Rhinolophus ferrumequinum: one gene and its partners. The main gene of each other region encodes a partner of the protein of the gene in region 2 in a complex. Links are inferred from orthologs where the notes say so. Each region holds a gene or a part of one and is shown on either strand. Other genes may lie near its edges.

What was found.
Region 1: PIGQ (region 2) and PIGH share a complex: the UniProt entries of both Homo sapiens proteins name them as parts of the glycosylphosphatidylinositol-N-acetylglucosaminyltransferase (GPI-GnT) complex. The link is inferred for Rhinolophus ferrumequinum from reciprocal best matches to the Homo sapiens genes PIGQ and PIGH.
Region 3: PIGQ (region 2) and PIGY share a complex: the UniProt entries of both Homo sapiens proteins name them as parts of the glycosylphosphatidylinositol-N-acetylglucosaminyltransferase (GPI-GnT) complex. The link is inferred for Rhinolophus ferrumequinum from reciprocal best matches to the Homo sapiens genes PIGQ and PIGY.
Region 4: PIGQ (region 2) and DPM2 share a complex: the UniProt entries of both Homo sapiens proteins name them as parts of the glycosylphosphatidylinositol-N-acetylglucosaminyltransferase (GPI-GnT) complex. The link is inferred for Rhinolophus ferrumequinum from reciprocal best matches to the Homo sapiens genes PIGQ and DPM2.

What each region holds. Positions count from the first base shown.
Region 1 is NC_046289.1:29,113,517-29,121,293, forward strand, and holds the start of PIGH (phosphatidylinositol N-acetylglucosaminyltransferase subunit H), read left to right. Parts: upstream 1-4,623; 5' UTR 4,624-4,694; coding exon 4,695-4,874; intron 4,875-7,777. UniProt on the Homo sapiens protein: Part of the glycosylphosphatidylinositol-N-acetylglucosaminyltransferase (GPI-GnT) complex that catalyzes the transfer of N-acetylglucosamine from UDP-N-acetylglucosamine to phosphatidylinositol and participates in the first step of GPI biosynthesis.
Region 2 is NW_022680357.1:2,531,602-2,539,302, forward strand, and holds the start of PIGQ (phosphatidylinositol N-acetylglucosaminyltransferase subunit Q), read left to right. Parts: upstream 1-4,689; 5' UTR 4,690-4,885; coding exon 4,886-4,899; intron 4,900-6,703; coding exon 6,704-7,402; intron 7,403-7,701. Other genes in the region: NHLRC4 (NHL-repeat-containing protein 4), read left to right, coding at 113-169, 706-1,604. UniProt on the Homo sapiens protein: Part of the glycosylphosphatidylinositol-N-acetylglucosaminyltransferase (GPI-GnT) complex that catalyzes the transfer of N-acetylglucosamine from UDP-N-acetylglucosamine to phosphatidylinositol and participates in the first step of GPI biosynthesis.
Region 3 is NC_046288.1:42,455,643-42,461,737, reverse strand, and holds PIGY (phosphatidylinositol N-acetylglucosaminyltransferase subunit Y), read left to right. Parts: upstream 1-5,097; 5' UTR 5,098-5,134; coding exon 5,135-5,350; 3' UTR 5,351-5,493; downstream 5,494-6,095. Other genes in the region: PYURF (protein preY, mitochondrial), read left to right, coding at 3,158-3,357, 4,900-5,041. UniProt on the Homo sapiens protein: Part of the glycosylphosphatidylinositol-N-acetylglucosaminyltransferase (GPI-GnT) complex that catalyzes the transfer of N-acetylglucosamine from UDP-N-acetylglucosamine to phosphatidylinositol and participates in the first step of GPI biosynthesis.
Region 4 is NC_046295.1:76,946,719-76,953,968, reverse strand, and holds DPM2 (dolichol phosphate-mannose biosynthesis regulatory protein), read left to right. Parts: upstream 1-4,134; 5' UTR 4,135-4,202; coding exon 4,203-4,295; intron 4,296-4,498; coding exon 4,499-4,588; intron 4,589-5,588; coding exon 5,589-5,691; intron 5,692-6,460; coding exon 6,461-6,516; 3' UTR 6,517-7,161; downstream 7,162-7,250. UniProt on the Homo sapiens protein: Regulates the biosynthesis of dolichol phosphate-mannose. Regulatory subunit of the dolichol-phosphate mannose (DPM) synthase complex; essential for the ER localization and stable expression of DPM1.

The DNA of each region.
Region 1 (7,777 bases), on a different chromosome or scaffold from region 2:
GATGTACATCACTGTTACAGCTGGAATCTAGAGCAAGTTCCCTGGGTGTCCAACCTGATGAGATTTTTGAGGTAAAAAGACAGTTAACCTCCCAAGAGAGTAAGGTTCTCCGGTGCAGTAAGCTGGAACATAAGAGTAAACAGTCTTTCCACAAATGAGAAACCATCCAGCAGGTAATTTGACATGTGCATTAGCATAACTCACAGAGGGAGCAGAGCTGCAGTTTAAGGTGATATCGGCTGAAAGATTAAAACAGTGGATAGAACAACCGGTGAACTTGACACATTTTTCTGCCGGGGTCACAGCTGTTACTTGTAAATGAAACATGCTCCTGAATCTTTTAGGGAACTAATGGGTCCCCTATATTTAAGTGACTGCTGAATCTTTCCCAAGCTAACAACATAGGAGATAACAGAATTGAGGTTAGAATCTAAAGCAGTGGGCAGCAGTTAGAGCCAGGGCTTTAAGGTCTTTTAATAAAACTTTTCCAGAGTCCTTTTTAAGTTTAGTTTGTTTATTTTACATTTCCTCTAAGGTATAGACCAATGATAAGGAACAGGCTGAGTAAAATGAACCCAAATCTGGGGGCTGTCTTTATCTTTACAACCAGCAGTCTTCAGAGGAAAAAGGTCGAGTGAGCAGTTGAGACAGAATAAATGGCTTCTATATTAATCAGGAAATTAACAGGCTTACCTGCCACATCAGGGTCACCCGCAGTTTTACCCCTGTGATGAGAATAGCTTGGGAGCCGCTGGGAACTTTAGGCCCAATAGTGATTACAGCTATTTTTGGGGAGAAGTTGGTCCCTGCTCCCTTCAGAACGGGGGGCAATTCCTCCTCCAGTGCCCTTTAGCTTGCACAGGAGGCACGGCTGCTTTGGAAGATTAGGACACTCCTTATTTCAGTGCTCTGGGCTTCCACATCCAAAGCAGGCTCCTTTATCTGGTGTTTTTTCCTCTGGGGCTTTTGGGGTGCCCTGAGGTGGTTTCAGCCCCGGGTTATTTATAACTGTGGCCAAAAGTCTGGCCTGTCTCTGGTCTTATCCTCAGGTTTCACTGTTCCTTAATTTCTCATTTTTTTCTGTCTCGGTTGTTAAAGACATTTAAACAAATTCCTGGCCTTCTTTAGGATCTCAGCCTCTTTATCAGGGATGTAACAGTGGGCTAGAACCATTAGAATATCCTGCCAGTTAGGGGAAAACATTAGGCTTATAATTTCCTAAGTGATAAGGGCACTAAGCACATCTTTTATTTTGATATTTGTTTTTTGACCCCAGTTCCTGACACAGGGTTCCTAAATCCCTTGGAATTTCCTGGGTGATAGCAGTGTCCTTTGTTCTAATGAGGCAACTCTAGGCGGACTCCTGGATGGCTCCTGGATGAGGGCTGGTCACTAGAAAGACCAAGACATGATTAGAAGCTTAGAATTTCAGCCCCGCTCCCCATTCTCCAGAGAGAAAATGGAGTTAATGATAGATCATGCCTACGTGATGAAACCTCCATAGAATCCCAAAAGTACGGGGTCTGGAGACCGTCCAGGTAGGTGAACACATCCAGGTACCGGGAGGGTGATGCAACCCAACTTCACAGGACAGAAGCTCCTGTGCTGGGGACACCCCTAAACCCCACCCACCTCTTCATTTGGCTGTTAATCTGTATCTTTTATCATATTCTTTATTATGTAACAAACGGGCAAACTTAAGTATTTCTCTGAGTTCTGTGAGGTGTTCTAGCTAATAATCTAATACAAGGGGGAGATCATGGGAACCTCTGATTTGTAGCCAAGTAGAGGGCAGTCTTATAGGATTGAGCCTTTAATCTGTAGGATCTCCAGGAAGATAGTGTCAGAATTGAGTTAAATTGTAGAACACCTACCCAGCTGGTGTCACAGAGAATTACGCTTGGTGTGGGGAAAGAAAACCCCACACATTTGGTGTCAGAAGTATTGTAAGTGTGGTAGTAGTGTGATAGTAAAGGAGAAACACAGGAGGAAGACTGAGTTTTTTTCTACAACAGTTGTGAATATATAATGTAATACCTAAAGCAACCACTAAAAAAACTATATAAAGATACACTCACGAACACTATATAGATAAAATGGAATTCTAAACAAGGAAAGATAAAATGTGTTATACTTATCTTTTCATGCAAAATAAATTAATTTATTGATCAATTTCACTAAATTGCAACGAGTTTTATAAGTTTGCATTTATTTTTTTTAAAAATTGAGGTATAATTGGCAATACTTATCTTTTTAAAAGCCTATTTGGGATTTCTTTTGATTTATATGGGCCTTTACTTTTCCTCTCCAATGGGTATGTGGCCCTATATAGAAGGAGACATATTCTCAGTTAAAACAGCAGGAATCATTAATGCTATATAATAAAAAAGTGAATAGAATAACAATTACAGTATGAGATACTATTTTTAGAACAACCTTTTACTCCATAAGTGTAAGCAGATACTAAAAAGTTCTATAGAAAGATTTTAAGAATCCAGCGTGGGCCATAAAAATTAAAAGTTAACTGAATTCTTTGATTAGATTTTTTCTTATTATTCATATTCATAGACACTCAGGTTCCAAGAAGAACTTCACAGTAGAAATAATTACCCATCTTATCAAAGGTAAATCAGATTAATCCTACCTACTGCCACCACGGTGCTCAATTCACTGAAATGTATTTCCTGATTCTTGTAGCCAAAACACTTTAGAAAGTATAACAAAGACTGTCTAGTTGTTCACCAAATCATTCTTTCTCTACTAGGCATACCGATAACATTAAGATGATGCTGTGATCTGACAGAGCAAACTGGTTATAGAGATTTGGGGATTCTATTACCACTATTTATCCCTAATAATTTAATATTTAAAAAATTAAGTACATTTAGGTGTCTTTTTTTCTATGACTCTATAGTTATGAAGCTTCTGAACCTGCGCAGGTTCTTAATCTTTTTGGTGCCACAGACCCTTTGTAAGTCTGGCAAATCTAATGGACCCCTTATTACAGTGTTTTAAAATGAATAAAATACGTAGGATTAAAGAAAAACAACTAAATGAAACTACAGTCACCAAAATATATTTTAAATATTATAGTAATGTGTGTCTCTAGTGACACATTAAATAACAAGATCTAGTAGTGGGTCTAATAATTATTGCAATTTTGAAGTACTAATGAGTGAAAATATTTTGAGAGAACTAACAATTGTGAAATGAAAATATCTGTGGTTTCTATCAGTGACAAAAATCACAAGTATACTAATACTAATTGGTTTGTTGCCTGTGTTTGTAATCAAAATAAATGTTAAATTTCAATTAGAAGTTAATAAAACTAAAGATGAAACTGCTTTTTATCCATGGAGCCCAGGTTAAAAACTCTAGGACTAGAGGTTTCCTCCAAACGTTGACAGTGTTTATTTCTGAGTGGTGGAAATATGAGTGGTTTAAATTTTTCTTCTTTTCTGTATTTTTCAAATTTTCCACAATAAGCAAACATCTTTTATAAAGCACATCATATGATATGTACCATGAGAGGGGTGTATTGGTTGGTAAGATTCAGAGTACAGAAACTGGAAATACGAAGCAATTATTGAAGAAATTCCTTTAGAAAAAAAAAGGAAACAAAATCCTCGTTATAGATGGAGAAACTAAACCTTTCATCAGAAACTTAAAGCTGGTGAGACCATTAAGCCATTTATCTTTATACATAAAGGGATCAATTAATACATGTTGCCTCAGGGCTCAAGTATCATAACTCTTAACAGGCCACACAGACACTCTTGGGCCACATTTGAAGGAGAAAGAGGGAAACCACAGGCCACAATTACAAGTTTAATTTTATTATCCATACTTTCTGCGTTTTCCACTCTTGCTTACCTCCCAGCTAGGACTTGTCTGCCTGTTCAATGCTCCACGCTGTGGTTTGGGAGAGAGAATTCCCAGGCAGTGATATTCAAACTCTTTAACAGGCCCTACAACTCTCAGGAATCTGACTCCTACCTACCTCCCCAACTTCCAACTGCGTTCCCCATGCGTCAGCTTCTCTGACCTTTTGATTCCTCCAATAAGCCAACTTTGTTCCAGCCTCTGGGTCTTTGCTTTTCCTGATCTTCCTTCCTGGCAAATTCCTCCTCCAGAGTTCCCCCAGACCAATCTGGCTCCTCATCCTTGTATCTCGAGAGGCTTTCCGGAATACCCTGTTGAAAAGTCCCCAAGCCATCCCTGCTGGTCATCTTATTGCCAACAGCACTCTCTGAAATTACTTCTATATTTTTTGTCTTACGAGGAAGGAAGCTACTTGAAGACAAGGACCTTGTCAATATTGGTCACCGCTGTATACTCAGCACCTGAAACTTCCTGGCCCAGAAATGAATGGATGAATGAGAATGAGCTGTCTCCTCCGGGCGTATTCTGCCTTAGAAATAGAAATCAGTTTATCGAGCACAAGCGCGTTAAGAGCGGTTTTTATCTGTCCGCTAAATTGTTAGTCCCCTACGAGTCTCTGGAGTAGATAATCCTAGAATTCCAGCCGAGTAGGAGTACGAAAAACCTAACCTCCTAAACAGCCCCATGGGCTCTCGGCGCAGAACTGAGGCTGCGCAGAGCTTGGGAAAGGGCGTGGCCAAGCCCGCTCTCCGGAAGTGGGTCCAGAGCGGGCGGCTAGAGCGGCGGGACCCGCGGGGTGGGACGGGCCGGCCATGGAGAACGAGCAGAGCTTCTCGGATATCTGCGGCGGCCGCCTGGCCCTGCAGCGTCGCTACTACTCCCCGTCCTGCCGGGAGTTCTGCCTCAGCTCCCCTCGGCTCTCGTTGCGCTCACTCACCGTGGTCACCAGCACCGTGTGGTTAGCGGCCTACGGACTCTTCACTGTCTGCGAGGTAGTGGAGGGTGGGCCCCTTCCCGTGGTTAGAGTCGGGGACTCAGGTTTAGAAGGATCTTTAGGGCCCTCGGATCTATCCCGGACCTCTCGCCGACCCTCCTACAGTCGTAGGGCCGGAGGGCGGGCACTCGCTTGCTCTGGAGACTCCATTCCGCTGCTGGACAGCTCTTTTCATTACGTTCAGTGAAGTTGGTACTCCTGTACTTTATCCCTCTCGTCCGTCGCTGCTCGGCTCTCTGGTTTCAGCCGGCATACATCTAGTCCTTGCACGACAGCCTAGAACTTTAACTTCCATGTGCTTTATGTAGTACATGCTTATAGTAATTCATTTCAAGGGTTTAGAGAACTAGTAAGTGGATCGTCTTCATCCATGACTTCCACACCTCGGAGGAATCACTGAGAACAATACCTTAAGTACATCTAGTCTTCCAGAAAGTGTCTTTGCCTCCACTGTGTGTGTGTGTAGCGTGTGTATATACACACACGTTATTGAAGACCTTGATAGTTCTTCCTAATCTCTGTTGTAACATGGCAATCTAACCCCACCTCCTCCCAACCGCTTTCCCAACTTCAAGAACTTTCTAAAGAATTATGAAATTTCAGAGATGGGTAGTTTCTATGCTCAGTTTACAGACTCATGCCTATTTTTTGAGCCTGTTTGTTAATCTCTAAAATGGAATTATCATCTGTCATACCAGCTTCACCGTATTGTGAGGGTCACGCAGTAGTTTTGTGATAGCCCTCAAATAAAAGGAATCGTCCTAATTGCCCTTTTCACGATGAGTTTAGTTTCGTATGTAGTGTCCTGAATTGAATATAATATTATTCCAGGAGTGATCTGATCAGCGCTATTTATTTCTGTAATTTTTTTTTTGACTTTATTGGGGAAAGGGAACAGGACTTTATTGGGGGAATAGTGTGTACTTCCAGGACTTTTTTCCAAGTCAAGTTGTCCTTTCAGTCGTAGTTGTGGAGGGTGCCGTTCAGCTTCAAGTTGTTGTCCTTTCAGTTTTAGTTGTGGAGGGCACAGCTCAGCTCCAGGTCCAGTTGCCGTTGCTAGTTGCAGGGGGTGCAGCCCACCATCTCTTGTGGGAGTTGAACCGGCAATTTTGTGGTTGAGAGGACGCGCGCTCCAACCAACTGAGCCATCCGGGAGCTCAGCGGCAGCTCAGCTCAAGGTGCCGTGTTCGGCAGCCTTCAGTTAGGAGCACGGAGCTCTAACAGACTGAGCCACCGGGCCGGCCCATATTTCTGTAATTTGATAGAACTTCCTTTGCTGCATCCATTAACTTGTTTTGCCATCAGAGCATATTTCACAGCATGGAATTTAGCATAGATGTATGCATAATTAAGACTGCCCTAATTTATACCAAACTGTATCTAAAAGTTTGTTCATAAGTCAGTCAAAATGGTTAATTTGCCAGGACAGTCCTTCCCCCTCCCCCAAAAAGATTTAATTCATAATGTAGTTGAATTTTAATACTAGCCTGGCCATGTGGTCATGTGAGGAAGAGGGAACAGATATTAAATGCCCACTGAGTGCCAGCTGCTTTACTGAATGTCTCTTTTCAACCTTAGAAGAAAACCAGGGCTCAGAAAGCAGAATAACTTCTCCAAAATCACAAAGCTAGTAAGTGGCATACCTGGGCTTCAAACCCTGGCCTGTCTGACTCTGACACCCTTTCATTTCCACTAAACTATGATGTCTCCTCCTTGGGGAGGGTTTGCTTCAGCAAAACTTTTAGATAGAGAAGTTTATTTTTAAGCTAGTTCCCTTGTGTACTTGTCTCTTTAATCCTGGTCTATACTACCACTTCCCCCCACCAAGTACCCAGGACTCAGTAACCGCATCTTCTTTTTCAACTCCACTGAAACACTTCTTAAGAGCTATGTGTACCAAAATTTCTTATTTTTCTTCCTAGTCAAAACTCTTCATCAGGATAATGAATCTCCGCTAGGAGTGAGAATTATGACGAAGGAATTCCTTAAAACATGGCTTAACTTCAACCTAAATGAATATTGAATTGTTAAACAGAAAAATGAAGTAGAAAAAAATGTAGGTAATGATGAAGTTTTAGATAGGGATTGCCTTCTTGAAAAGCTGATATGGATCAAATCCCCTAAGGATTTTCTGCTCTTCATCCCTTCTTTTCTTCCAGTTTTTGAATTCACATTTCTATTAAAATTCCAAGTTTTTCCCTTATTTATTCCAGCCTGGAATGTTGTTCTCCCGCCTCCCTTTTCTCAACTAAGTATATGTATCAATAACTACCACCTCTGCACCAATTAAATACTATTCCTTGGAAATCTTCATGGGACATTCTTGTGTGCTTTAATCCCTCCCCCGCCACAATCCTATTTTATACTTGTAGTCAGTATCATAATATTCATAAAAAATATTTTATATATGAATTAATTAATTTTGCCTCTAATAAATCTGTAAGGGCCAGTACTAAATTTTACTTCTCTCAATTCTTCTGTAATTATAGCTTTAGTGCAAACTCTGTACAAGGCACTGTGCTAGATATTAGGCATTTAATTAACTCAAATAGTAGATATTTGATATCAAATATCAAAGTAGATATTTCTGGAACATCAGACACCCAACACATAGATTTCTCCATTCTCCAATTGTTAATCAACAAATAATTATCTAGCATAAAGGTGAGCAAACTTTTTCTTTAAAAGGCCAAATAGTAACTATTTTAGACTTTACAGATCTGTCTAATATTCTTCTATTTCTTTTTCCTTCTTTTTTTTTAAAACAACCCTTTAAAAAATGTAAAACTCATTCTTAGCTCAAGGTGGACCAGACAAAAATAGACCACAGGCCCAAACAGTTTGCAGACCCCTGATCTAACCTCTAGATCCTTGTTAAGAAGAAAGTAGAAAGATACTTTC
Region 2 (7,701 bases):
GGGGGGGAGTTTAGCAGTTGAGTGACAGGATTCCACAGAGCCCAGAGGCTTCACCTGCCTCCTCCCCTCTCGCCCACATCAGGGTGGCCCCTCCCACTCCTTCAGGCTCTAGTTTCCAACAACAGAGACTGCAGCCGAGCAGGGAACAGGGCCCAGGGCCTGGCCCCAGGTAGGAGACCCTCCCAGCTGGCCTCCCTGAGTAAGGGCAGGTAGAGAGGCCTGGACCCCTGCCTCAACCCTAAAGGGTTGGAAGTCCCCAGGATTGGTGTGGGGGCAAAGGAAAGAAGGGTCACTTTCCCTGTGTAAGTAAAGGAAGGCAGCAAGGGTTCTGTGGGCAGATGAGTTTGAGAAACACTTTTTATCTGTCACCCCCCACCCCTGCCTTGGCACATCTCAATACCCGTGAGCTTATTCAGGCCTCAGAGGAAAATCTATGGTGACCTTCATGGGTCTGTGTCTCCCCGAATTGTGTCCCAGGGACTACATCGGGGAAAATGGGACCTAGAGACACAGCTTGCTACCAGGCTCGCAGGTTGGGCCAGACTCGGGACCTGGTGGAACTGAGTTCGAATGCAGATCCCCCAAACGCCCCACATGCCTCAGTTTCCTCATCTGTAAAACAGGACATCAACATTGCGTGGAAGGGCACAGGGGAACAGAGAGAGCTGCTACTTGGCACACAGTGGGGCCTTCTTTCTCTTGCAGTCCCAAACTCTGACCTCCTGGCCTTTCCCACCAGCTGGCCAGTTGAGGGCCTGCACCTCACGCTGGACCCGCCTGGAGACCCCGCTCCCTCCTGGCAGCCCCGGCTGCTCAGGCAGGTCCCGGTGCCTGCAGGGGCTGGAGGGAGGCCCCGGGGCCTACACTGTTCCCCGGACGGCCTGCTCTTCCTGACTGCTGGGGCTGCTCCCTGCCTCCATGTGCTGGACCTCGAGGGACGCTCTGTCTGCCACCTGCCCTGCCGCGTGCCTGGGATCGGGGACTTTGTGCCAGAGGACGTCGCTGTGACCGCTGCTGGGCTCGTGGTGGTCAGCGACCTTGTCCATGGGGCCGTCCACACACTCCAGCATACTGCCCGGGACCCCCAAGGCCGCTGGGTGACAGTGGGTACCTTCCTGGCCCCCCAGGGGCTGGCTGTGGACGCCCTTGGCCGCTTCCTGGTGACGAACTATGTGCCGGGGGCTGTACACAGCTTTACATTGGGCCCCAACTTGGAAGCACTGGCCCCAGCCTCTGTGCTGGGTCTAGACGGCCCCCGCTGGGTGGGCCTGGGACCCAATGGGGGGTTTGCCGTAAGCGAGGAGTTTGGGGACGTGCAGCTGTTTGGCAATGCCTACCAGCCCCTGGGCTCCCTGGGGCGCCTGACGGGGCACACCTTCGGCAGCCCAACTGGTGTGTGCACCGATGCGGAAGGTAGTCTTATTGTGGCAGATGAGCAGCGTCGGGAGGTGACCCTGTTCCCCAGGACTGGGGCACCCGTCTGCTTGGTGTCCAAGGGGCTGGGGCGGCCCTTGGGTGTGGCCTGTGTGCCCCAGAGTCGGCTGGTAGTGGCCGATGCAGGGGACAGCTATATCAAGGTGTACCAGTACTCAGAGCTGACCTGACCCAGTGGGCTTGGATGGCAGCCTGGATTCAGCCCTCAGGTCACCGAACCACCGTGAGAGAGGCATGTTCAGGGCATCGGAGGGCTGCCGGCCATGCCCTCCTGACCCTGCACATTTTCTGAGCACCTGGTCTGGCTTCCTGGCTTCCTCTTGGAAAGGATTCAGACTTGGTCAGCAGGCATGAATCAGCTGCCTGTCAGCACCCCCTGCAAGGTTCACAGCCTCCAAAGCTGGTTCTCGCCATGCCCCAGCTCAGGGTGCCCCAGCGCCGTTTGCCCCCATGTACACCCAGGCCGTGGCCCTGCTGGCGGAGGGCCCAGGGGGCCTGAGCTTTGGAGCCAGCAGCTGAAGCCTGGAGATATTTGGCGTGCTGGGCCAGCTGCCAGCTCTTACCCAAGCAGGATTTCCCGCCAAGTGCCCCAGCCCCAGTCTCCTAATCAGACACGGGCAGGCAGGGTAGGTGTGGCTGGGCTGAGCTGCACTAAGCTGGGCGGCCTGGGAAAGGGTGCGGCCCCTCACTGTCCCCCATTCTCAGAGGTGCCCGAGGTTCCGAGCACCTTCTGCAGCTTCTCTGGGCCCAGCTGAGGTAAGGAGGAAGCAGATGGGGGCTGCCCTGGAAGCGCCCTGGGGTGGCACATGGCTCCATTGGGAGCCTTCATGCCCTTGGCCACTTCTCCCACGTGAAACCGTCTCACAGGCTGTCTGACCATTCATTTTCTCCCCTGTAAACCAGGACCACACAGCCCAAGTTCATGGGCGGGGGTGCTGGGAGGGTTATGGGCAGTGGTCCCATCTAGGAGAGGCTTCCTACGGGGACATGTGCCTGCTGCTTAAATACAGCAGGAAAGTGAGGCCCCAAGAGGGTGGGGAAGGGCGGGTTACTCTGAGTCTAGAGCCCAGTGAGGCTCCTGGTTCCAGCTAGGGGTCTCCAGGGGGAGGGGACAGTGGCTGGTCCGGGCCCTGAGAGCTGGTGAGGGGGTGCTCCTGTCTGTGACCAGGACTTTCAGGGTCTGTGGTTCAGGCCATCACCTCTGACAAGATTCCCTCCATAAGTCCCAAGCCTCTGTGGGTAGGGGGATTAAATGGATCAATCAATGTAAGGAACCGTGTGTAGTAGATGCTCAATAAACATTAGTTGTTGCTGGTGTTAGGGGTATTGTTTCCTGGAGCAGGAGGGACCAGGGACACCCCTTGACGATCAGATCAGTTGGCTGCTGCCTCTGAGCTGGTCCTCCAGGGCCCAACAACTTCCTGGTCAGCCTGTCCCTAGGGGAACCTGGGGGGGGGGGTGCCCCTCTGCAGAGACCAGTGTGTGAGGGGGCCAGGCTAGGGCTGGGGAGGGAGCTCTTTTATGGGATCCCACTAGGGTCTGGAGGTCATTTCACCCTGGGAGGGTGGGGGCAAGGCGAAGTACAGAACCCTCAAAAGCCAGGTCCACTGGGTCCCTCAGATGAGGAAACCCAGGGAGGTTTGGCGGCTGGGGGAAGGTGAGGGGCTGGAAGGCAGGGGTGTTACGGACTCTGCGGGTGGACTGGAGGGGGATCAAGGACGCTAAGCGGGGGGGGGGCACAAGGTCACTGGGGGGGAACAGGGACGCTGCGGGGGCGCGAGGACAGGGACGCTGCGCAGTGGGGGTCACAAGGGCGCTGAGCGCGCATCACTGGCTCTGGAGTCGGGAACGTTGCGTGCACGGAACGCTTGGGCGAGGCCAGCGGGCAGCACGGGCGCCTTTGGGGGCCGGACCGTCGCGCGGCAACGTCGGGAACCCGCGGAAAAGGGACTCGTGTCCCGCGGCGCGGCCGCTGTGGGGCTGGGGGCCGTGAGCGCGCTTGTCCGCCCGGGCCCCCGCGACGTGGTCCCCAATTCCATCCTGACCCCGCCGCCCGAGGGCGCGGCCCCGGGGAGCAGCCGGTGAGCGTGGGCGGGGAGGGCCGGCGTCCGTGCGGCGTGACCTTGGGGAGCTGCCCCCCCTGGCCTGGGCTGCGGGCCCCGACACAGGCGGGCGAGCGGGAAGATCTCTCCGAGGCTCCTCCCGGGTCCGGCCCAGGCCTCCCGCCGCTAGGAGCCTCTGTTTCATCGTCGGTAAAATAGGGACGTCACCGTTTGCCGCCTCGAGGGGGCCTGCGACTTAGGAGAGCAGTGAGCGGCCCGCGGAGCCGGGTTCGCTCCGATCAGGGAGGATTCGTGGCCGGGTGCGTGGGTGCTCTTAGCGGGGAGGCTGGTCCCAGTGCCGTGTGCGGTGAAGGGCCTCGGAATGATTCCCTTTGACCCCCCCCCCCAACTTGGGGCCTGCTGCGGACCCTTTGGAAGGGGATTCAGGGGCAGTGGAACTGGTTGTCAGCACTTTGTCCTTGTCCTTGACTACAGCAAAGGGCAAACAACCAGAATCCTAGATTCAGGTCCCTTCTTCGGAAAGGAGAGAGAAAAAGCACTGTTCACACAACGTGAGAAATTTTTTTTTTTTTTTTTTTTAACACAAACGACCTGGAGTGAAAAAAAACGAATTCTTTTGAGCTATTGAGGAGGGAGCAGTGGTGGGGAGGCTTCGCAGAGGGGGGTTCCGGCCAGTGAGATGTCCCCGGCTGGTCCTACCTGGGCTGTTCCCTGAAATAAGTTCACGCAGAGGGTGAAAGGGAAGTGCAGCTTCTGCTTCGTAAGGCAGACTGTTGACCTTCAGTTCTGTGGCGAGGGGTGTCCCAGAGATCGGACTGTTTCATAAGGGAGCTCGGGTGTCGTTCTTAACATGGGAGGCTTTTCCAGGCCTGGACCCCCCAACCCCCCTTTATCACAGTCTTGAAAGACGTGCACGTTGCCCAGTTACTGCCCTGCTTTCCCCCATCTGCACCTCTGCTATTGATTGCCTGCTCTTTCATCTCTTTCTGGCCGACTGATCTGAGCAGACTTCTTTGTGTTCCTCACTCCCAGAGGCTGAGGTGGAAGCTGGGGTGGGAATTTGCACCATAATCTGTTAAAGAGTTCTCGCTCGCTACCCCACGGATAAGAACACCCCCTTCTTGCCCTCTGCTCTTCCTTAGACATGAGGCGCTGCTGCTTTTTTTCTTTTCCTTTTTTAGGTAAACTTTGTGGATGAAGCGTAACACACACAAAGGAAGTGCACAAGTTGTACGTGTACAACTCGGTTTTTCCCAAAGGGAACGCACCGTAGAACCAGCTTCCCCCAGAGAAGCTGTCAGCCGTTAGAGCAGTTGTACTTCTTTTCCGACGGTAGCCATGAGCGGTTTTCCTTAGCTCCTGGGAAAGGCGTCCCCAAGCCGGGTGTGATGGTGTCATTTGGGTGAGTTGGTAGGTGCCTTTCCCTCCCACGATGCCATCAGGAGGGCAGCCCCTGCAGAAGGGTCAGGAAGACGAGTTGGCACTGCATGCCCTTGTTGAGGGTTGCAGGGATTTGGCCTGGGGCTCTTGTCAGGCTCCAGCCTTTCCCCGGCCAGCACCCACTGTTGCCTGCCCTCCCTGGTCACTGGAGGAGGGGCATTTGGGAATCCTGCTGCTGCTAGACTCAGAGGGGTCCTTTTCAGCTGGAACCCACAGCTGGGAGAGGCCCCTTTTCCTAGCTGCCTGGAGGAGGCCTTGACCCTCCAGCCCCATGCTGGGCTCCTGCGAGGGGGGAAAGCAGCTGCACCAGTGCCTCTTAACCCCGGTGTTTATGTCTGTGAGGCTCCTCTTAAAGCCCCCTGGCCCTCAGGCAAAGGCTCCCTGTGCCTCCTACAATGTCACACTGCCCCCACGTTGTGTGTCCCTCTCTGTACCTTGCCCCATGGGCCTGGTGAGCACTAGAGCTCGGAGGCCCAGGTTCAGTCCAAGGCCTGTGTCTGTCCCTCAGGTGTGGCCTCCAACGTGGGGGGGGGGGTCTCAGCTCAGCGCGGCTGTTCTGTCCTTTGTGCCGAGTAGCTGCAGTTGGTGTCAGAAAGGGCATGCTCGAAGGTGAATGCCCTCAGCACCATGCGGTTGAGGTCCTGCTGCCATCTGGGAGGGGCTCAGGTGGGAGCATGAGGTACTTGTTAAGAAAGCCTCATCCCAGGGAGCTTCCTTCTGGGCAAGTTTAGGCACAGGGTCCCACCGCGTTTAGGAATTGCAGCCGCTTGGGCTGCAGCCACTTGCAACTGAATTGCTGTTGCTGCTCAGAGGCCGTGTGAAGGTAGTGAGGGGCCTGGAAAGCTTGCATCTCTCATCCTGAGACAAGACGACAGGCTCTCTCCATTCCCCAGGGCGACCAACTTCTCCCACCCCGATTTCTAGATAGCCACCTGGTTGGAAGAATAGTGCCCCAAGGAGGCGCTCGGCCCTATCTGGAGGCCTGCGCTGAAGTGGCAGATGGATGGGCTCTCAGGGCAGGATGGGCGCGGCCATAGGCTGGGGGGTCAGATGGAGGCAGAAGCCCCGTGAGAGCTGAGCCTTTTCCCTGAGCACTGAGGCTCCCCCAGGGGCACGTCCCAGGCATCTTCTGAGGCGCCTGCACCAGTCGGTGCCCACAGCCGCCAACAGTGTCCACATGTCTGGTCTCCCTTAGTCCCGCGGCAATTTGTTTAAATTTCATCTTTATTCTTGCTGGCTTCGTAAGTAAGTCAAGGTTCGATAGAATTTTAATTTGCGTTACTTTGTTAATGAGACTGTACATTTATCCCCGTGCTACACATAAAAAAGCAAATCAGTTTCTTTTTATGTGTAAAACAAAAGTTGAACCTCTTGCTCAGTTCCACACACCCTGTGGGTGGTACTGAGCAGGTCACATAATCTTGCCCTGGGTCAGCCTGCTTCTCACTGAATTGGGGGAAAGCGTTGACCTGCCTCGGGTCGGGGTGAGGGGTGATTTGGGGCCTGTGCTCGCAGCTGCCCAGGGCAAAGGTGAGGGAAGCGCCCATGGGAGATGGGCAGCTGGGACCCCCCACTGGCCTCCAGGATCAAACCCACAGCAGGGTCACCCCAACCTGTGGGCCCTCTAGCCACGTGGACATGTCCGGCGGGGTATCTGCGCTACACACTGGCCAAGGCCTGCGGCCACAGCCCTGCCAGCCCCCCTGGGCCATGGAGAGCAGTGGCGGCGCAGCATGTCTGAGCTGAGTCTCCCTCGTCTCTTGCAGTGACCCCGGCATGGTGCTCAAGGCCTTCTTCCCCACGTGCTGTGCAGCGGCGGACAGCGGCCTCCTGGTCGGACGGTGGGTCCCGGAGCAAAGCAGCGCTGTGGTCCTGGCTGTGGTGCATTTTCCCTTTATCCCCAGCCAGGTCAAGGAGTTCCTGGCGCAAGTGCAGCAGACCAGCCAGGTGGGCGTGGCCGTGCTGGGGACCTGGTGCCACCGTCGGCAGGAGCCCGAGGACAACCTGGGCCATTTCCTGGAGGGCCTGAGTGCCATCTTCTCCCATGAGCCCTGGCTCCAGCTGTGCCGGGAAAAGGGCAGCACGTTCTGGAGCTGCAAGGCCACGCGCTGGCAGGGGTCCACCTCCCCCGGGGCCCCCAGCGAGGACCAGGTCATGATTGTCTTCTACGACCAGCGCAAGGTGCTGCTGTCCCAGCTGCACCCGCCCGCGATCCTGCCTGACCAGGAGACTGGCGATGCTGCAGCCGGCGCTGTGGGCCTGGCTGCTGTTTTCCACACGGTGGCTCGCAGCGAGGTGCTCTTCCGAAGTGACCGGTTCGATGAGGGCCCCGTGCGGCTGAGTCACTGGCAATCGGATGGTGTGGAGGCCAGCATCCTTGTGGAGCTGGCCAAGTGGGCCTCAGGGCCCATCTGCCTGCTGCTGGCCAGCCTGCTGTCCCTTGTCTCAGCTGTCAGTGCCTGCTGGTAGGTGCCCCTAGGGCCGGGATGGGACGAAGTCAGGCTTCTGAGTCTAAGGCCCACCCCTCAGTGTGCAGGGGGCCCAGGCAGGCCTTCCAAGGCTCATGGCCGCCCCTGTACCCCAGTTCTCCCGTGCTCCCTCCCCTGGATCTCAGAGGACATCCTGATGGTGGCTGTTCTTGTGCCACTCGCTCCTGGGGAAGAGCCAGGCTTTCTGGCAGCCTCAGCGGTTGCATGGGACCCACCAGGTAGAGGTGCTGGGTGAACCTCAGATGGCTCCAGCCCCCGAGGGGGAGACGAGTCGA
Region 3 (6,095 bases), on a different chromosome or scaffold from region 2:
CTGGCGAACCGCGACTAATCCAGACAGTACCTGACACTTAGTGAGCATTCAATAAATTAATAAATGAATGACCAACATTAAGAATTATATTTTAAACATATTTATTATGTTATAGGTGAGAAATGCAAACTTCTTTGATGTTCAAAATTTGCATTACTTTACTATTGAGGATGAATATTTTCTATGTTTTTATTAAGCAACTGTATTTTCTCTTTCATGAATTTTTTTCATATTTTTGTCCATTTATTGGACGTTTGTTTTTAATGTACTCATTACAATTGCAACTTATTAATAAATATTTTGTGATTTTTGTTCCTAAAATAGATGTTATCAAATTAAGGAAACTGTCAACATAAAGGCAAATCTTCATAATCACAGAAAGAAAAGTACAAGCAGAAATAAATGTTAGTTCAAATACTGAATGATGCCATCTAGTGGAACACTGATTTTAACTTACTCTCTGGATCAGAGTCCGTAATTTCAATGCCCCCAAATTTAGTATTTATGGGACTTTATTAAAATATGTATTCTACATAGCCTCTCCTCTGCCTGGAGATTTTTAACTCATTTAATGTATAGAATAGCCCAAGAGTGTGTTTCAATAATATTCACATTGGAAACTATAAAAATTCCATGTTAGTTAAAATTAAGGTGATACTTTATGCTTTCCTTTTTCATCAGCATTTTCACCAATTTCACCATAATAAGTAATTTTGCTGCTGATAACATTCTTTTAAATGAGTAGTCTATGCCAGCCCCTGTGCTAACTGCTTTACTTGTATTATTTTATTTAATCCTCCCAACAGCTGTAATAAAGTAGGTACTATTATAATGCTACAGCCAGGTGTACCTGGGAGATATCACAGGTTTGGTTCTAGACCACCATAAAAAAACAAGTATCATAATACAGAGAGTTGTAATCTCGCTGGTGGAAGGTCTTGCCTTCAGTTTGTAGAAAATGCAACATCTGTGAAGCATAATAAAGCCAAGTGCAATAAAACCAGGTATGCCTATATTTTAGACGATTGAGGCAGAGAGTTTAAGTATCTTCCCCAAGGTCACACAGCTAATACGGTACCTGAGCCCATAGCCCATCGTGTTATTACATGTGTGTACAGGGCTCTGTGATAAGGAAGATCATAGTCACACCAATAGTCAAAAAAAAGACTAATGATTTTACAATTCTATACTGTCACCTACCTTCAGCTTAGTATACTACATGCAAAACTTAGTTGCATTCCTTAATTACTGAGAGCCGTTAAGGAACATTTTGCTTTGACATTTTGCAACTTGTATTTACATGGTTTGGATTAATACACTTTTATGTTCCTTACATATTAGTTGTAGATTTTTGCTGCTATAAATTTGAAGATGTTTTCAGTACTTTGCTGTTACTCTCCATTTTTCCCCAATACTAATATAAATGAAAGTAAACTGATCTGCTTCAAGCCTTCTATGTGGAGGCAAACTGAAACTAATTTATTTATAACTGGTTAGCAAATCCAGTTGATAGGGATCTGTCAGGCAGGCCAGGCAGCTGAGGCTAACGAAGCTGGCCTTAACCACGCATGCCTGCCCCTACCCACACCTAGCCTGCCCAGCCTGGCCTGGCCCACTTAGTGCTGGCAGAAATCAAGCTCTGCTTCCCCATACCTCACTGAAACGTATCTTTCCTATAATTCACTCTCTCCCTAGGGCCCACAGTATCAACTAACTACAAACTGAAAAATTAATTGCTGCTACTGCCCTCGGAGGAAATAATGTGACGATAACATAGGAACTTTGAAATTGTCCTTCCTGAGGCTACAAACCTGACAACTGCCCTGAGCTGAAATCTTCTGAACACTAGTGAACAAAGGGTGTTAAATAATGTAGTAGATTTTAAAAAATAGAGTGAGCAAACAATGTAAAATTTTCTCAGTTTATTGTTACATTGCTGAGTGGAAGAGAAGTTTGTGTATGTATATCCCTCACCCTCATTCCTACCTCCCAGGAGCTCAAAGTGTGAAATGGTAAAGCCCATTGATGTCAAGAAGGTTCAAGTAAATATTCAGCAAAACAAAGGGGGAAAAATGATGACTAACAAAAAATCTTGTAGTGTATTGAACTGGGAAGAACAGAGGAAATAAAAATAACAATAGATAACATTAATTGAGCATTAATTTGTTCCAGGCAATTTTCTAAATGTTCGGAATGCATTAGGACATTTTAATCCCCACAAGGGGATTTCATTAGGTAGGTATAATTATGAATCTTATTATACAGATAAGAAACCTGAGTAATTAAGTCATTTGCTGGAGTCACTTAGCTGGTAAACTATGGACCTGGAACCAAACTGTCAGGCCCCAGAACCCCAAATCCTTATCTACTAAACCGTAAGAAAGAGATCAAACCTATATCAATTCCTTGGAGAGTCAGAGACAAATATAGGGCGAAAAATCCACTAAATGGATCACCCCCTTAACTAATGGACATCTGCATGATCACGCAGTTATTTAGAGTCCTCGATGTCTCCAAGCTCATTTATACAAGTAAATTAATTGTGAGTTATTATATAATTGAATTCATGAATCCCTCAGGGTAAGAATCTGGATGTCTTGGAACGTTAACAAGACCAAGCCATTCTTTTCAGGTTCTTAAATCTTTTTAAATGAGAGAAGAAAAAGAAATTTGCCAAACACGGTTACAGGAACTGTGATATAATAAAGATTTACATAAAACAAATTAATGCTTTTAACATACCCAACATGACAGTGTTTGAAACTTCATTTGGGAGATAACCACATAGGTCCAAGACTAATAGTGTGTGACTGTGAAGTCCGGCCAATGTTTCCTGGCAGCCTGCGACCGTTTCTGGTGAAAACTCAAGGAACCCCGACTTATGCATTGGTTTTGTTTGTAAATGGTAAACGCGGTGGAACAGCCACCAGACGCCTCCGGTAGCAGGTCACGCTCAGCACTCTTATCGAGCAGTGCTGCGGCTAAAAGCAGTCGGGAGTGCCCACGGAACCAAAGCGCTCGGCCCCGCCTGCCCGGGGCTGAGTTTCCAGAGCACCGGGGGGCGGGGACTGGCCTGTCGGCTGGAAGTGCGGAAATCGCCTAGAGCGGCCCGAGCTGGCGAAGGGCGCGGTGAGAGGCGGTCGCGGGCTGCCAGACCATGCTGAGTGGAGCGAGGGGCAGGCTCGCCTCAGTGCTGCGGCAGACACGCGCGCCGTCGTTCGTGGTCGCCCGTAGGTGCCTGCGCGTGTCGAGGTCGCGGTCGTCGGCGGACGGGAGTGAGAGGGGGAAAGTGCCCCAAGCTTTCGACCCGGCGCTGCTGGAGTTCTTGGTGTGCCCGCTCTCCAAGAAGCCGCTCAAGTAAGATTAGCCGGCTGCGTTTCCTTTCATGGCCTCCCATTGCGGGGAGGAGGCAAGGGGACCGCGCGGCCGCTTGCAGCCGTGGGGGAGCCTTTCAGGTCAATCCGGGTAGTCTCCGCTGCCATTTTCTGGGGGCCCGCCAGTTCCCACGCATCTCCCTCTGTGGCAGGAAAGGCGGGAGGAGAGCCAAGCCCCAGGCCTCCCAAATCCAACCGCCGACCCGCAGGCCTGAATAGAAACTTAGAGGTTCGCCACGGACTGGGCGTTAGAATTGCCGGGGTACCTTTTAAAAGTGTAGATTCCCAGGCAATATCCCAGGCGACCGAGTCGGAAGGTCTGAGGGCAGGGCCTGAGCAATTCTGTATTTTCTTAGAAAGACGCAAAGTGTATAATCTAATACACAGCCAGGTTTATGAAGTAGTGGGATTCAGGAGTAGTCCATAGCATTCACGTTTTTAAGCCAAGATGATGGAAAAAAAAATACCGTAGTAGCCTCCAGATTCTTGTGAAAATGTCTACAACTGATGCCTGACTATCTTAAGCGTGTAAACTACGTGTGCTGCCCTTTGGCTTTTAGTTCTGGACTAGCTGGTTTTGTAAAGGCCTCCTTAACCTTTAGCTTACAATCCTTAGGATAAACAACTACAGTTCCAGGTTGCTAAAACTGAATTTTGACAACACGAGTATTGCAGATTGAATATACTGAACATCAAGATGTTATGAGTGGCTAGCTTTGGGTGGTAGATTGCTAATAATTTTAATTTTCATCTTTTTGCATTTCTTTCTAAATTTTTCCTATAATTAACATACTCAATTTTCTTAAACCTTCAAATTATCATTTGATCTACCTTTTAGCTAATTGTGTAACTAGCTCACTGCAGATTGGTTTTCCAATTTTCTCATTTCTGCCTTTTCAGCTTTCACAAACTTTTGTGTACTTTGATTTTTCAGAGGTTTTCTTCTAATGGATCAGTTAGGCTGCTCTAGTACGCCTGTATTCTAAAACAAGGAAGTTGAAATTTTCTCTGTCCCAGTAGTAAATTAACTGGGACGGTTTTGGAGATGACCAGAGTAATGAAGGAATGTTTGGATGAAAAAGGGAGAGCTTTTCTGACTGGTATTTTAAAAAATTAAGGCGTAGCTTGCGAATAAAGTGAAAAAAATATGAGAAACTGACTAAAATGGGAACGATTAGAGATTCATTTTCTATGAGAAATGGTTTGACTATTGCTGCTTGTAGAATTAAGTTTTTTTGTTTTGTTTTGTTTTTCTTTTTTAATTTATTGGGGTGACAATTGTTAGTAAAATTACATAGATTTCAGGTGTACAATTCTATAATACATCATCTATAAATCCCACTGTGTGTTCACCACCCAGAGTCAGTTCTCCTTCCATCACCATATATTTGATAGAATTAAAAGTTTAATTCTGCTTTTCTGGGATTAACTCTGAAGAATTGGATAAACAGTGGTGTTTATTAAACATCAAGCTCTTCCAAGCATTTTGTTTTCCACGATTCATTTTATTTTTCTTTTCCCTCAGATACGAAGCATCAACAAATGAATTGGTTAATGAAGAATTGGGAATAGCCTATCCAATTATTGATGGGATTCCTAATATGATACCACAAGCTGCTAGGATGACACAGCAAAATAAGAAACAAGAAGATACGGAGCAACACTAGATCATAATTAAAAACAACAAACACAACTAAATTTTCTTAATACCATCTACGTTTTAAAAAGTCAGGGTGGCAGGTAATAAGTGGAGGAGAAGAATGTTTCTCTCTCTTCCTGTGTTGACTGTCCTTATTCCATTGGTCTCTTTAGCAGGACTGTTCTACTCGGCCTCTGTGGAAGAAAACTTCCCACAGGGCTGCACCAGCACAGCCAGCCTGTGCTTTTATAGTCTGCTCTTACCCATTACTGTACCAGTTTATGTGTTCTTCCACCTTTGGACTTGGATGGGCATTAAACTCTTCAGGCATAATTAATGCAGCTAGAGCCCAGATGGTACATACATTAATGCTATGTTGAGTGTCTATATCTGAAAGCTCAGCTGTATGGAAATACCAGGCACACGCCTAATTTGTAGGAAAGATGCTTTACCTTACTTCTGTCAGACTTAGGACTATGGGATCTAATTTATAACGGCTATGTCAGAAGAAACATTTCAACAAAAGTGTGTTGTTTGAAATTATAGTCCTGACCATCATCTGATGACTTTATTTCTTACCCCATTCATCTGAAAGTTCATTTGAAATTTTATGTTTTAGAGTAGAAGTCTTTGGTAAAGTCACGTTACAGATGACTGCAGTAAATTCCACCAGAGCTATGTTAGAATAGTTGGAGAGAAACGCATTTGAACTAGTGTGATATAAAACTACAATAAAGTGGAAATTTTATGGACTTGCAGAAATTCTGAGTTTGTAAAATTCATTTCTTTGGTATCAAATGCTTACATTACTAATAAGACAACACTTTTCCATAAAAGTTTTCATGGTTTTGTATATTTTGTTTTTGGTCTCAAGAATGTGGGTCTAAGGAAGGGAAAAGTGAAAAAGTATTCTAAAATTTAAAATGTAGGCTATTTTTAGACACTTAATAGCCAAATAGAATAATTTCCCAGGAAAGTATGTACTTTTGGAGGTAGAGGTAGGGTTAGAAGACTTGCAAATAGCTGTGTCCTATTGCACTTACAGCTGTGTTTTGAGCCACATTTTAGTTTATTTTCCTGCC
Region 4 (7,250 bases), on a different chromosome or scaffold from region 2:
AGCCAAGTCCTCAGACCCCACCTACATTCTAGACTGAGACCCCGCCCCCAACGAATGTTCTCCTGCTGCCCTGGCAGCCTGCACTTTGCACACGCTTGTCTTTAGCACAGCCCCGCTGGCCCTCGCCTGCCCTTCCTCTGATCCCTTCCCAGGGGTTCCTGGGTGCTGCCTGCTGTGCAGTCAGCGGCCCAGCTTTAGCAGCCCGGCTGGAACGGGGCACTGCCTCTCCTCCCTCCCGTCAGCTCCAGCTCAGGCCTGAGACCCGTGCCGAGAAGGTTCCCTCTGCCCAGGGCTGGGTCTCGAGCAGCTGGTTTCCTGTAGGAAGCCTGGAAGGAGCCTCCCAAGCCCGTGGAGGTCGGGGGCCTGACCGTGCTGGGCAAGCACTGCCCCATTTTTCCCCTCAGGGTCAGCTGGCCCTGGCCTGGGACCAGTGCTAGAGGGGCAGGTGGGCTGTGACCGGACTGGCTGGAGCTGGCTTCCTGGCCAGAAAAGCCTCAGCCCTCCTCTGAAAGCACCCCTCTCTTTGGGCAAGGGAGAGGCAGGCCCTTTAAGGGGGGCTTTTCCAGCAGGGAGCAGTCTGGCTCTGCCCCTGCGCCTTGCTAACGCCTCTGCTCTGAGCACTTTCCTCCCGGTCCTCGTTATTTGCTTGAAGGTGGGTTCTGGCTGCCAGCCAGCCTCTGGACAGACTCCCCTGCCACTCTTAATTTCACTCATCTTTGTATAAACCCAGCAGGCTGGTGTTTACTTGGCCCTATACTTTTTTTTTCCTTTCCTCTTTTTTTCTTTATTTCTTTTTCTTTTTTTTTTTTTTAGGGTTCACAGTTTGATATTTTCTCCTCCCCCAGGTGAGGGGAGGTGGTTCTGTTCTCTGCCCTACCCGCTGGCTGGGTCCCAGCAGGGCTGGGGATCTGGATGGAGAGCCAGGATACGGGTTCTCTCTCTCGTAGGGGTTAGGGTGGAGGTGCCCTCCCCAGGGTGGGAAGGGTCCTTTCTGCCCAGCTGACAAGAGTTGGAGTCATGGTCTTGGAGCCTCCTGGCATTGGAGTCAGAGCATTTCTAGGATTTTGTGGTGGTTGTTATTGTTTTAATCACCTAACTCTTTTAGAAAATGAATGTTAGAAGGTGCCTGCCGAGGCAGGATGGAGCATTTGCTCTGGCTGGAGAAGGCTCTGGTCAGCTCTGTGGGTCCCTTCCTGCCCCGTAGACACCTGGCACTTTAAAAGGGGACCAGCTGCACTGTCTCCAGATGAAGTGGCCCCCAGAAGACGGGGCAGTGCCGCTCTTCCCTCTGTCTGCATGACCTCAGCCCAGTGGGGAGGTGCATTCAAGGTGTATTTGGGGTCTGATTCAAGTTCTGGGGCTTTAGGCATAAAGCAGCTGGCTTTGGTGCTGTTGGGGAGACTCCCCCAAAACAGGAACCCCAGCCCCTCTCTAGGCGAGGTCTGAACTTGACAGTCACCCCAGAAGGAGACAGAGCCTGCCACATTCTCCCATGACAGGCCCTGGGCCGGGGTAATTGGACAACTGAAAATTCGGCCACAACCAAATTGATGGTGGCTGGAGCTGGAGTCCGGAAGCTCCGGCCTCATCCCCATATGGGAGCTCTATTCTTCGGCCCTCTGGTCCCTTCAAGCTCAGTGAATTCGCACTAGGCACCCACAGCTCCTGGACTTAAAAATTCTATATATATAGAGAGAGATAGAATATATTAGAGATATTTTTGGAAAGGAATTGGTCTATGCAATGCCAGTTTGGAATCTTCTTGGAAGACAGTTTTAACATTTTTACTAGGAGATTTAAAGAAAATAAATACAATATTTTTAGGTTATTTTTTTCTAGTCACCCCACAAACTGACCATAGGGCATGATCTGCCAGGATGGAGAATGTCTACGTTTTCCTCTCTTTAGGGAAGTGAGCAGGGAGATGGGGGGGAAGAAAGGTCTTTTTTTTTTTTTAATTCCCCTCTTATCTAACAATGTCGCCACCACCACACCCTAATTCAATGGGCTGTGTTTGTATCCGTCCCAGCTTCTATTGTAGAAAATAACATTGTAAAGGGAAATCAGCCTAGTCAGTGTCTTGGTTTGGGGGACAAAATTAAATGTTGCAGTTTTTGTTTGTTATGGCATGTTGGTTCTTGTTTGTTTGTTTTACCAACTTGACTTTAGGATCAAAGCATCAGATGGAAGCCAGATGTGTAAGGTGATGGTCGGGGGTGGGGAAGGTGTAGGTGGCCAGGGTTCTCCAAGTCCCGGTGCAGTCACAATTGTGACCACCTTTATTACACCAGAGTCCCGGACAGGAAACGGGCCCTGGAGAGTAGTTTCCTGCCAGTCTCAGACCTCAGAGCCCAAGTTCTAACCACTGCTCTACGGACCTCCGCAGTAGTCAGGTGGCTTTGAACAAGCATGCCTGAAGACAGAAAACTGCCTGTGCCTCAGTTTTCTCAGCTGCGGGCTGTGAGGCTGTGGATCAAATGAGAAAGTGGGTGTACAGCCTGACCTATGGGAGGTGCCAAGTTCATTCCCATCCTCTAAAGCCCCAAGCCTGCATTGTCTCCAGGCCTAGGCCCCTCATCCCTGCCCTGTCTCAAGTTACAGAGCAGCCTGCACCAAGCTCTGGGAAAGGCAAGTCGCCCTGGGCCTTTAATGATCTCAGAAGTGGCAGGAAACCTTAGCGGCTTTGAACGGGCCAGAAGGGACCAGACTACCAGGCCTCATCCCTGTCACAGCACTGCATATCCTCACCCCTTCTCAGGGCTGATGTCCAGGCTGATTCTCAGTCCCTTCCTTTGTTCAGTGCACACCTGGGGAGGGAAAAGTTGGCTCCTGACTAAGCCCAAAGTCTCCTGAGACAGAGGGAAGGAATTGGGCTTTAGGCCCAAAAGGTTGCTCCTTTGGAACACAGTCATGCTAAATGAAAAATCAGCATACCAAAGGGCAGGGAATAAAAAGGTTGCTCCAGCAGTTGCCATAGTCAGAGATGGGCTCAGATGACCCAAGGAGGCAGATGCTGCCAGCCAGGTTCAATCTCCACGTGCCCCTCCACCCCCCAAAATGGAGACAGCAGGAGAGCCTCCACACAACCCCTCAGAAGGCCTGGAGTCCTCAGATGCTGAAGGCTAGCATTCTAGGATCTAAAATGTCAAAGAATCTTAAAGCCAGTTGGTTGATTCAAAGCTCCTACTTTGTGCCAAGCCCCATTCTGGGCATTGGGGATACAGCAGTGACCACAGACCCTAGGCTCAGGGAGCTCACAGGTGGGCCACATCAAGTAAATCGGCTAATTAAAACGGTGCTGAGAAGCGTCATCATGGAGACACAGTTGGGGCTGTGGAACACAGAGGAGGGAACCCCCGTCAGGGAAGTTGACTTCCCTGGGATGTGTAGCCCTGATGAGTGAGGAACAACTAGCCCACTAGCTTTGAGGAGACAGTGTTCCAGATTCCAGAGCTGGAGAACACATCAAAGGTGATGAGGCCCAACCTCCCCTTGCTCTCAGAGGAACGGACCTCCAAGCCTGGAGAGGATCCTGCACACGCGGCCATTCCCAAGACCTGCCTGGACTGCTGCTAGCGCTGCCGCAACACCCAGGGCCCCAGAGGCAGACGGTGAGGGAGGAGAGGGTCACCCTGGCCTCGTCCCTGCAGTGAAGACAGGACAGGGAAGCCAGGCGCTGGTAAGGGGACGCCTACCCTTACAGCCAATCGAAATGAGCCCCATCGCAGCAGGCTTGGGCCAGCCCCTCCTCCTCCACCCCCAGCCGGGCGGTGAACATTTTTTGCACCCTTCCCTCAACACACATTAGGGCCTCGGGACCAGGAAATAACTGGCATGCACACGCCAGGTTCTGGTGTCGGCTTCACCACAGACACGAATTGTGATCTCCCGCAAGTCCTCGCCCGTCTCTGAGCCTCATCAGTTTCCCCATCTGAGAAATGAGACTTCCAACTCTCCCCTACCAGATCTCGCTCTGGCTTTGGGACTCTGGGATATTTAGAAATGGGCTTTTCTTCAGGGGCGAGTTCGACAGGACTGAGGCCACGAGTACCAGCCGGTCTGGGTTCCCAACTCGGTCCCATTCTCTAGGGAGATTCGGGAACAACTTGTTCCCCCATACCCTTGAGAAACTACATTTCCCGACATGCAAATGGGGAGGCGGCGCCTGCCTGTCTTGGGCAACGTAGTTCTGGGGCGGCCTTATGTTCGGCGACTCCCGGCGTGCCCCGCAGCCGAGGGCCCAGATGCGGAACCGGATGTGGCTGGCTGCCCCGGTGCGGAGCACCGGGGAAATGGTGAGTTTGTGGCAGAGTGCTGGGGTTGGGGATCCCTGGTTTGTTTAGGAGCCGGAGCTTGGGCACTCGGAACCAGATTGCTCTCCCGCCGGCTCATTGTACAGATAAAAACGCTGAGGAATCAGACTGCGACGCCGCCCCCCCACCCCAGTAGTGCACCTAAATAGAGGCACTTCGTCAATTGAGCCCTCCCTTTTCTCCAGGCCACCGGGACAGACCAGGTGGTGGGACTTGGCCTCGTTGCCGTTAGCCTGATCATCTTCACCTACTACACCACCTGGGTGATTCTCTTGGTATGTGTTCTTCCTCCGCCCTCTCTCACCTTCTCCCATTCCTGGGTCCTGCAGCCGACCCCACTGTGTTAGGTGCTTTACCTGAATATCTTATGAAATCTCCGGAACAACACTGTGAGGAGGATGCCAGTGGTATCCCCATTTTGTAGATGAGGAAGCTGAGGTTCAGGGAGAAGGGTCGGACTCAAGGTCGCGTTCTTAACCGCTGCAGTGTAAAGCCCTGTTCCTGATTTGCTTTCCCTTTGATGGGTCCAATCCTTCTGGTTATTCTGCTGGCTCCCGGGCATGGCAGGTGCCAGTGGCTTTCGTGAGGGCCTTTCGGATGTGTGTGTGGAGCAAGGGTTTGGTGGTTAGTACTTATGTGCAGTGTGTTTGGAGGGCAAAGTCTTGCAGAACTTGGTATCGTTTGGGGAAAATTGTCAGTAAAGAAGATCTTGGAGCCCAAATTGGGAATTAGTTGAGGATTCCTCGTGTACCCTTTGCCCTTGCTAAACTGTGAGGGCATTAGGGCAAGTCCTTCGACTTCTGTTCACTGCCAGGTCCCTAGCACCCACTTAGGGCAGGTACCAGTCAAGTGCACAGTAAACTACCGTGTTTCCCTGAAAATAAGACTGGGCCTTATATTAATTTTTGCTCCAAAAGAAAAATTAGGACGTGTTTTCAGGGGATGTCTTATTTTTTCATGTACAACAATCTACGTTTATTCAAATACAGTCATGTCATCTTCTAGAACATCGTCGTAACGTACTAAGTGCGCCTGTCTGGCTGACGATCTTAACTGGGGCTTATTTTCGGGGTAGGTCTTATTTTCAGGGAAACACAGTATTAAATAAATGAAGGAAGGAAACAAACCAAGGCATCCAAAATGCCATCTTAAACAGAAGCAAATGCTGTCCCAGTGCTTTGAGTGGGTCAGCCCGAGACAGAGGAGGTGGGATGTTGGCTTGGGGGGGCTGGGCAAGGCAGGGAATGCTCACTGGAGCTCTGCCCTCGATGCCAGCCATTCATCGATAGCCAGCATGTCATCCACAAGTACTTCCTGCCCCGAGCCTACGCCGTTGCCATCCCACTGGCCGCCGGCCTCCTGCTGCTCCTGTTTGTAGGTAAGTCATCATGCCACCAACCCTGGGCAGGGTGTCTCCCACCCCTCCATGTGTGGCCACACTTTGGCACTTGCTGTATGTCTGCTTGCGGCTCTTTGCCCCCAATTCACCCCCAGGGTTTTCCTGTTCATCCTTCAGGGCTGCAAGTCAGTCTTCCCATGCCTCAGGCTCTCATGGGATGTCTCCCTTTTTCCGGTTCGCTCCACCGGCATTGCTCTGCTCACACCTCAATCACCTCTCACCCCCTTGTCACCCAGGCTCATGGTTCCTGCACCTCTTTGTCTCCCATGGTTTAGTTTGTGGGCTTCCCAGGACTGGGGCTTTATCATGACTGTGTCCTCACAGGCTGTGGCACTAAGCTGGTGCTCAATAGAGTGGTTTGGATTAGTCAACAATCGGATGACTGGATGATGCAGTCGGTGGGTGGATGCTGGATGTTGAGTGGGCAGGTGGGTGGGTGGATAGGTGGGTGGACAGGTGATGGATTGGGTGAGTAGATGGATAGCTGGGTGCAACTTGTACCCCATAGAATCTGAGAGACTAAATGTAGCAAACTGCCTGTGGCAGGCACTCAGTGGTGTGTTTCGAATGAATGTGGGTGGATGTGTGGCTTGATGGATGGCTAGGGAGATGACCAGGTGGTCTGGAGGGTGGTTGGGAGGGGCTTGGTCCCCTGTATGTGTCATTGTGCCATGCCATGCCCTGCTCTGGCCTTAACAGCAGCCCTGAGCCCCGATCTTATCTGGTCTTTCTGGTCTGTATATTCCAGGAGTGTTCATCACCTATGTGATGCTGAAGAACCAGGTGACCAAAAAGGCTCAGTGAAAGCCCAGCAGGGATGAGGCTGCTGGCCCCTTCTCTGCTTCCCCGCAAGGGCATACCAAGGGCAGGGGTCCACAGGACCTATTCAGGCACTGTGGCGCCCTCAAACCTGGCTGCTCTGCAGACACCCTGAAGGATGGAGCTGTTCAGAACTCACCCCTGACTGACAAGAGCACCCACTGCCCTGCTCACCTTTCCAGAAGCTAGGAGGGAGGAGTACCTGAAGTCTCCCTCTCTCCCCCTTCCGGCTCAGGGCCTGAAAGATGCTAGTCCTCCCTGCCTCACCTTCAGACTCTGTCATTTGTTTTCCTCTGGTTCCACCCTCTTGCCTCAGTTTCCCTCCTGTTACCTGCTGATACTGGATTTGGCAGGTTCTAAGACATCACATGACCTCTCCTCACATGTCCTCCTCCATGAAAGCAGCTTTCCCGGGTCTGACATAGCCCCAGATCCCACAGGACTTCTGGACCTGGAACACCTAGGCGGGGGGACAGACAGGCCCCAGGACCACCGCCAGGCCTCAGGGCGCATTAGAGTGGCCACACTGGGCCCCCAGACCTGCTGCTCGTCATGGAGACCCAGCCCCTCAGTCCTGACACTGGCCTTGGCCTGCTGGGGAGAACTGAACAATAAATGTTTTGGTGTGTTTGTTTCTGTGGCATCCCTGACCAGGAGAGCTGGGCTGCTTGTAGTCCGGAGAGGGTCTAGGAGCTGGCCTCGCACTAGTCTCAGGTCAG